2 linked regions of the Oryctolagus cuniculus genome follow. The protein of the gene in region 1 binds, or shares a complex with, the protein of each later gene. Links are inferred from orthologs where the notes say so. Each region holds a gene or a part of one and is shown on either strand. Other genes may lie near its edges.

The links.
Region 2: the proteins of KRAS (region 1) and PLAAT3 are in contact, whole or in part, in a crystal structure (PDB 7C41), measured with the Homo sapiens proteins. The link is inferred for Oryctolagus cuniculus from reciprocal best matches to the Homo sapiens genes KRAS and PLAAT3. Residues at the interface, in NP_001356715.1 of Homo sapiens: Ala11, Gly13, Lys16, Ser17, Tyr32, Asp33, Pro34, Thr35, Ile36, Thr58, Ala59, Gly60, Gln61, Asn85, Asn86, Lys88, Asp92, Tyr96, Lys117; in NP_001121675.1 of Homo sapiens: Leu65, Tyr66, Asp67, Val68, Ala69, Gly70, Ser71, Asp72, Lys73, Tyr74.

Annotation. Positions count from the first base shown.
Region 1 is NC_091440.1:122,525,286-122,529,091, reverse strand, and holds part of KRAS (GTPase KRas), read left to right. Parts: intron 1-527; coding exon 528-687; intron 688-3,806. UniProt on the Homo sapiens protein: Ras proteins bind GDP/GTP and possess intrinsic GTPase activity. Plays an important role in the regulation of cell proliferation.
Region 2 is NC_091432.1:7,561,601-7,565,926, reverse strand, and holds the start of PLAAT3 (phospholipase A and acyltransferase 3), read right to left. Parts: upstream 2,968-4,326; 5' UTR 2,830-2,967; intron 2,691-2,829; exon of another isoform or gene 2,584-2,690; intron 2,442-2,583; 5' UTR 2,380-2,441; coding exon 2,365-2,379; intron 1-2,364. UniProt on the Homo sapiens protein: Exhibits both phospholipase A1/2 and acyltransferase activities. Shows phospholipase A1 (PLA1) and A2 (PLA2) activity, catalyzing the calcium-independent release of fatty acids from the sn-1 or sn-2 position of glycerophospholipids.

The sequences.
Region 1 (3,806 bases):
TACCCCAAATGTAGAGTTTATGCATATTGCATATTGAAAATTAGCTACATAAGAAAGATTTAACAGAGTAAGCAGTGTTGTCCACATAAAAACTAAAATCTTTCTGCTTTTTCACTTTTCCTTATTGAGAAAGTAATGTGAAAATTATGTTAATGCTATAATTCATGTTTTTGTAAAAATATTTTCAGTTCTATACTTAAACTTTGAACCACATACATGTTTCTAAGATTATTGCTATTGAAATTAGGCATAACACTTTAAGTCTAGAAGTTTTCAGTATTTTATCTTTGCGATCTACCTGCATATTAATTTCTAGGCAGTTAATCTTTAAGTAATATATAAGGTCTCTGTATAAGGTGGAGGGAAACAATAACCAGAAGGAGAAGCAAGGGAGATTGGTATGGTTGAAGCTAGGAATTTCCTTAAAAGTCTTCTTTTATCCAAAATGTGTAAGACAGAAGTTGTGGACAATTTTGGAAATATTTTTGCCTTACTAATGCTCTGCTATAACTTTATTTCTTCCCCAGAGAACAAATTAAAAGAGTTAAAGACTCTGAAGATGTACCTATGGTCCTAGTAGGAAATAAATGTGATTTGCCTTCTAGAACAGTAGACACAAAACAAGCTCAGGACTTAGCAAGAAGTTATGGAATTCCTTTTATTGAAACATCTGCAAAGACAAGACAGGTAAGTAAAGCTGGAATCAATACAAATCCATTTTCTGCAAAATATTTCAATCATGAATCATACTTTACTAATAGATATTTTAGCATCATTTTAATGGTAGGAGAAGGAAATTAATGTGTTCATATGTGATAACATTACTATTCTGTCATTGATGTGATTTTCAGTTTTTCTCTCAGTGTGTTAAAATAGCATATAGAACGGTACCTTCTCTTGAGCAGACAGTGCTTCTTAATGCAGTGTTATGGTAGTACTTTCCGCTTTGATTTCTTTCCACAGTGAAATTTCCCTTGCTCTGAGCACATCTTACATTCAAGAAATGTGCGATTTCACGTTACATAAAGACAAAGAACAGGGGAACAGATTTTGAGTTTGTGCTTTTAAGAGTATCATGTCATGTGTTTCTAGATTGAATTTTGTTATATTTGAAGAAATTTTACTTTGGCATTTTTTTTCTCATTAAAGAGTATTTTGAAAGTGAATAGAAATTCCATTATTCATTTAGTGCATTGTTCTGGCAAAAATTAATCCCAGTTAGAACCTAAATTTTGTTAAAGAAATCATCATTTAAAAAAAATATTTTATTTATTTGCAAGGCAGAGTTAGAGAGAGAGATCTGCCATCCACTTGTTTACTAACCAAATGGCTGCAATGGCCAGTGCTAGGCCAGGCTGAAACTAGGACTTCATCCTGGTCTCCCATGTGGGTGTAGAAGCTCAGGGACTTGAGCCATCTTCCCACTGCTTCCCCAGACACATTAGCAAGGGAGCTGGATCAGAAGTGGAGCAGCTGGGACTCAAATCGGTGTCTAAATGGGATGCTAGTGTTGTAGGCAGCGGCTTTTAAACCGTTATGCCACAATGCTGGTTCCAGTCATCTTCATTTTAAAAAAACTTTTTCTCTAGGTAAAATAAAATAATTTTAGCTAATACTATCTACCCTGTTTGTATGAAATAAGAGTTTAACATTTAAAAGGAAAATTCTGGAAAGGAACACAAAGATGTGATAGAATACAATTTTCATGCATAGACTGTAAGAACTTGTACAATATATGCTCCATACATTTTTTTTGGAGTTTTTTCTGGTTATGCGTACCTGTGAGCCCACAAAGATGGTTTTGTAGAATTTAACTCTTGTGTTGCTAGGAATTTAAAAAATTGATAAACAACTCATTACATAGTTAAACTCAGAAAAGCAGGCATTCTAGATGTTTGTTGAATTTTGTAAAGGGATAAAAACATAAGTGTAAATTATTCAGCTGTTATTTATGAGTTACTTCTCCAGTGAGATCATAAGTAGCTCCTCCTGGTTTGGTACACTATTTGGGTGTTTGTTTTGGAATTAAAAACTGAATTTTTGCAGTTTTTCCATCATATACATATTTCTTCTATGGCAGATAAATTATTTAAGTAAAGACTTGGTATATTTCACTTCAGAGTAATTAGGATTTCATTCAAATTCCTTCCCAAGTTCCAAATTTTAGGGTGGTTTGTTTTTTTTTTTGTTTTGTTTTGTTTTGTTTTGTTTTGTTTTGTTTTTGGTCTTTCTCTAGTCTTTCTTACTAGTCTCAATTTTCTTCAGCAAAGAAGGTACTCAGAAAACATGATTATAATATTTATAGCTTTTTCTTCCAGTCCTTTTTTTGGTTTTGTTTTTAGTTTATTTATTTGAAAGGGAGCATTAGAGAGAGAACAGGCAGGGCAGGGGAGAGAGATCTTCTGCCTGCTGGTTTGCTCCCCAAGTGGCTACACTGGCTGAGGCTGAGCTACAGGCAGACCAAAGCTAGAAGCCTGGAACCCCATCTGGGTCTCCCACATGGGTTGGCAGGGGCCCAAGCAGTTGGGCCATCTTTAGCTGCTTTTCCAGCTGCATTCACAGGGAACTGGATGGGAAGTGGAGCAGCTGGGACTTGAACTGATGCTCATATGGGATGGTGGTGTCACAAGTTAGCAGCCTAACCAACTGCACCGTGACGTCAGCCCTCCGATATTTTTTTTATGAAAAAATTTCGGATTTAAAAAATTGAAAAGAATTTTTATTGAAAACATTAGCAAGCCATCTATACTGTTATTAATATTTTATTGTAGTTGTATTATTCATAGATTTTAAAAATTTCTTTTTAGTCTTTTGAACATTTTTGTTAGCATTTCACATAAAAAAGGTAAACAGTAGAGAAGTGCTAGTACATTACAGTGCGTGCAGATCAAAGGGCTTATTAAGATCTCAATTCTAAATCAATGGGCTTAGGTTGGATCCTGTGAGTCTGCATGTCCAGCAAACCCCAGGTGATGCTGGTTTTGGTCCATGGACCACAGTTTTAAGTAGAAAGGTAGTTAGATGATACTAAAAGGACTCTTCCTTGTTAGTACCACAGTGTAGCTCTTCACTCCTTTCCCTGTTGATTGATGGCTGCCGCAGAAGCACCAGGTAGCTGATTCTTGGTGTTTTGGTGTTTTGTTATTAATGCTGTAATGTTTGAAGCATTCAGCTATTCATAACTACTCAGAAAACTACCCTGGCTTGCTTGCCCTTTTTTTTTTTTTTTTTTTTTTTTTTTTTTTTTTTTTAACGATTTATTAGTTTATTTGAAATGCAGAGTTAGAGGCAGAGAGAGAGAGAGAGGTCTTCCATCCACTGGTTCACTCTGCAAATGGCTGCAGTGACTGGAGCTGGGCTGGTCTGAAGCCAGGAGCCAAGAGCTTTTTTTGAGTCCCCCATGTGGGTGCAGAGGCCCAAGCACTGGGCCATCCTCTACTGCTTTCCCAGGCCACAACAGAATGCTGGATCAGAAGTTCAGCAGCCAGGATGGCAGGCGGAGGCTTTACCTGCTACGGCACGGTGCTGGCCCCTACCCTGGCTTTCTTTTAAAATATATTTTTAGTTTTAGGCTGTTTTGAGGCCTTGATTTCTTTGTTGTTTTTTTTAAAGGAGTATGATATAGAAGTGGATTAAGTGAAGTTTGCTTTGTAGACATTAATGTGGACCATAATTAAAATGTAGAATGAAATAATATGAAAGAATATTTCTCTTTCTTAACCTAATGTCTAGCATATCTTAGATTTATATCCTACTTTATTGATGTATTTATGAAATTTATGTTGCTAAACCATAATGACATTTGA
Region 2 (4,326 bases), on another chromosome or scaffold:
GGTGGCTGTGCTGAGCCCAAGGACCAGTGAGCCCTGACCTCAGCACCCAGCAGAAGTGCTGGCCGGGAGGGGTCGCGCTGCTTCCTGCTCCAGCCCCTCCCCCGCGGCGGCCTCTCAGAGGTGACCGCCCCCACCCCCCACTGCTACTTGGGAAGGGTCCAGAGATGTCCCAGAGGCCCAGCAAGCTCAGAAGCCGGGAAAGCAGTGGGCACAGGAAGGAGCCTGGACTCCCAGCCCCATCTCCCTGGGCTGCAGCTCCAGTTTCAGTTTCAGTTTCAGTTTGTTTCTCTGCAGCAGGTGCTCTGCACACCCCAGGGTCAAGGCTGAGGTCGCGGGAGGAGGGAAGGCAAACTCCAGGCCCGCTCATTCCAGCACACTGGAATCCTGCAGCAGGGAGGGGCCAGGCCAGGTGGCGCCACGGGCTGGACGGCTGGACCAGAGCTGTGTCCACGCAGCCTCTCCCACACCAGCTCCCCCTCCCCTCCAGGAGGCACCTGAGTGACAGCTAAGGTTGGCAGAGCCCAAAGAACCCCAGGGGGAGCCTCACTCCCCAGAGCAGACAAATAGGGGCGAGCTGTCTGTGGGAAACACAAAAGCAACAGAACCCACCGGAAGCCTGGCTGCGGTTAATGCACCTGCCGGCCGCTTTCAACCCACGTGGATGGCCGGGACCCCAGCCAGTGCTGCTGCCTCCCAGGGTCTGCACTAGCAGGAAGCTGGAACCAGGCAGGCTGACACAGGAAGTCTGCGTTCCCAGGGTGTCTCCACTTAGCGTTAAACACTCCTGTCTACTTCTTTTTATTTTAAAAATGGTGTCTTCCACGGAAGTTAAAGAGAACAGCACCCATCATCCAGTCAGCCACTTCCACTCAGCCTCATTCACTCACGTCTGTTTCCAGTCAGTTCCCCAGCTCAGAATGGTTCCAGCTCAGCTATACAGTTGACCAGCCCACGCCCTGCAGTCCTACATTTCCCTGTGTTTAAACAGAAGACAGAACAGCTGGGTCTCCCAGCGCCAGGAGGAACCAGAGCAACATCGAAGAGGCTGGCTCGTCTCGTGTTCCCGAGAGCTGCCTTCCTCCAAAGCCCAGGATTAACGAACTGTCCGTGCTGTTCAGTCATTCAGCCATTCTCCCCGGATTTTTGCAGAAGCAGAAAAACTTGGGGAATTTTGCCAAGTAAAATAAAAACTTAGGGTGAATTTTCTGGTGCAGACATCTTAGTGAAAATGTTGTGAGTGTGGAAATATTTAAAAGCTGCTAGAACTGATTTAAAAAAAAAAAACGTGGATAGTGTTGCAATGTCTGGAATTTATTATGAAACAGAATTTTCATAAATCTCTGCCAGACCAATCCTAACACTTAAGGCTTTGTTTCATTTTATTGCTTCAAGTGAACGCAGCTTTCAAAATTATAATTAATAAGTAATATTCTTCAACCAACTGTGGGCTGACAAATTAACTCTACTTGTTGAATACGAATATGCAAAGATCCATCTTGACAAAGTCACGGACAACTTTTTGCAAGTGTTCAAAACAGAAATGGTAGCATTCTAATGATTCATGACTGCGACCAACCTATAGGTAGGAATACATTTCTTCCCTTTTCTCAAAAACACACTCCTGCGGAACAGGCATTTAACCTGTCAGCTCAGACCCCGCAGCTCAGACCCCGCAGCCCACCCGGGGATGCAGCAATGAGGGCCCAAGTCTCTGGGTTCCTGCCACTTTTTCTTTCCTGCACATTCACTACCTTTCATTTCATGATTGTTCCTGGGAACAATTTTGCCACGTAAACGAGACCAGAGCAGGTCAACCATGCCACTGTCCCCAGACACTGCTGGAAGCTCTGCAGGATGGCCCGGCGCGCCACGCTGTTCCCAGCACTCCTGCGCTTGTGCTTGATCAAAATGCAAAACCCGTACTCTAAATCGCTCTGCTGCTGGGGTCCCGCCACGCTCCAGCCCGGCCCTGTGCCAAGCCTCTTCAGGATTTCCCAGCCGCACAGCAGGTCAGAAAGAGGGCCCGCTGGGGTGGTCAGGAGGTGAGTCAGTTGACACCACGGGGTGGGGATGGGGGGGGGGAGACCCGCAGCCAGGCCCCGGGGGCAGCACAGCCAGCCTCTGACAATGTCTGCTGTCCTGGTTTGACCTTAGCAGAGGGGCCTCGCCCCCTGCTCCTGCGCCCCTGCAAGGACCCAGCAACAGTTCCAACACGTGGCCTCCCACCCACAGCCGACACCTGAGGTCCTGCAGGTGCTGGAGGGGTGGACGGTGCCCCCAGCCCCGAGGATGCTCTCTGCGGGGCTCCAGGACTTCTGGTCACTACCCACACACGCCCCCCACCCCACCCGCACCCGCACTTACGATGGGTGCGCGCATCTTCCGTCCCGACGTGGACCCTCAGGTCAGGGTGGACTTGGCTTCACTCGCTGCAGAAACACCTGAGACACGGGGGAGCGGGGGCTCATGATGACACTACCGGGGAGCAGCGACCCGAGTCCCCCCGCCCTCCACCCCAACACCAGGGGCTCAAGGAGGGGAGCCCGCGCGAGGTTCGTCCCCGCGCCCCGCAGAAGCCACCACCTCCCTCTCCTCGCAGGTTCCTCGCTGGCCCCGCGCCCGCCCTGCGCTTGGCCCCGGGCGGACCACCCCTGGCGGGTGAGCGGGCGAGCAGGGCGCCGGCTCCGTGCGCGCCAGCGCGGCCGCCGCTTGCAGGCCGCCCGCCCGGCTTGTTTACCCAGCCCCGCCCGGCAGCGCTCCGGCACCTTGCGCGGCTCTTGCTGCGCCTCCCCTTTCCCTGGTGTCCCCGAAAGGAGCCGCCCCACCCACCTGCCGGACTCCGGAGGGAGGCAGAGCGGCCACCGCGGCGACGGACACCGGCTGAGTGGCCGCGGAGCCCCGGCCGGCGCGAGCTGGCCCGGCCCCTACCCCGGAGGCCGCTGGGGACAGCGGGCCGCCCGCGGCTCGCCCCGCCCTGCCCGCAGCGCCCCTCCCCTCCCCTCTCCGGCCCGGAGCCCAGGCCACACAGCAGGGGCATTCCCAGGGCGCTCTGCCCGCCTGCTGCGAGCGAGCGCCCGGCTGACGAATGGAAGGAGCCGGACACAGCAGCCCGCCATGCTGGCTGTCCCAGGGGCTTGAGAAACAGCAGGTGCAAGAAGATACTCCTGAACACACCCTGTTCTCCCGGAGCTGGGCCAGGAGAAACCGTGAAAACGACTCTTGTCTCTCAAGCCTCTCCCGCAGAATTTAATGGCTTCTTCTCTCCTTACTATTCTTGGTCCAGTTGAGTATAGAAGTCACTCCTGCTTCTTGGGGTCTTTCATTACCTGCTGGCGCTCCCAAGCCAAGGGCAATTTGTGTTACAGAAGTGGGTGGGGTCGGGCGTTTGGTGTAAGGGTTGAGACCCCCTACACACATGTCTGATTCCATCTGGGAGCGCCTGGGTTTGGATCCCAGCTTCCTGTTCAAGCGCACCCTGGGAGGCAGCAGATGATGGCTCAAGTCACCCGGTCCCTGCCACCCACGGGGGAGACCTGGGCTGAGTTCTCAGGGTGATAGGCCTGGGTGCCCTTCTTATTCCTGGAGCCTGCCCCACCCCCACCCACCCCCAGCTAAGAATTCAAAGCAGAGACCTACATACGGTGCCCCCCCGGGGGGAGGGCAGGGTGTACTTCCACGAGAGTGAACACACGTTCACGTGGGAATGTGGATCATCAGAGGGGTACGTGGCATGACTGTGCCAGAGTTGCCTGTGATGGGGCGGGGGCAGGGGCGGGGGCTGGGAAGGGTGGTCACCTCCCAAAGGCCCCCTCTAAACATCCGGGCGGATCCAGCTTCTACCTTCTCAGTACCACTAACGTGAGACTCGGAGAACCAAACGTTTACCACGTGAGCATTGGGGGACACCCAAACTCATACCCAGACCACAGCACCCCTACAAAACTGTATTAAACATAAAACCATTCAGAGGCAAAGGAGGATTCTAGCATTGAGGAAGTACTTTTATTTATTTTCTTCCATTTTTTCCATCTGGCTCTCTCACTGTGGGTGCAGGGGCCCCATTACTTGGGCCATCCTCTGCTGCTTTCCCAGGCTCATTAGCAGGGAGCTGGATCACAGTAGAACAGCTAGGACTCACGCCGGTGCTGATTTGGGAAGCCCACGTCACACAGGTGGTGGCTTAACCTGCTGGCCATGACACCAGCCCCAGGAAGTACTTATAACTACTGGGTCTGAAGCCACCGGGTAGCCCCAAACCTTCCGGCAATGAGTAGATGAACGCTGCTCGCTGGCCTGACTCCACAGTACAACAGCTCTCCTCCCCCT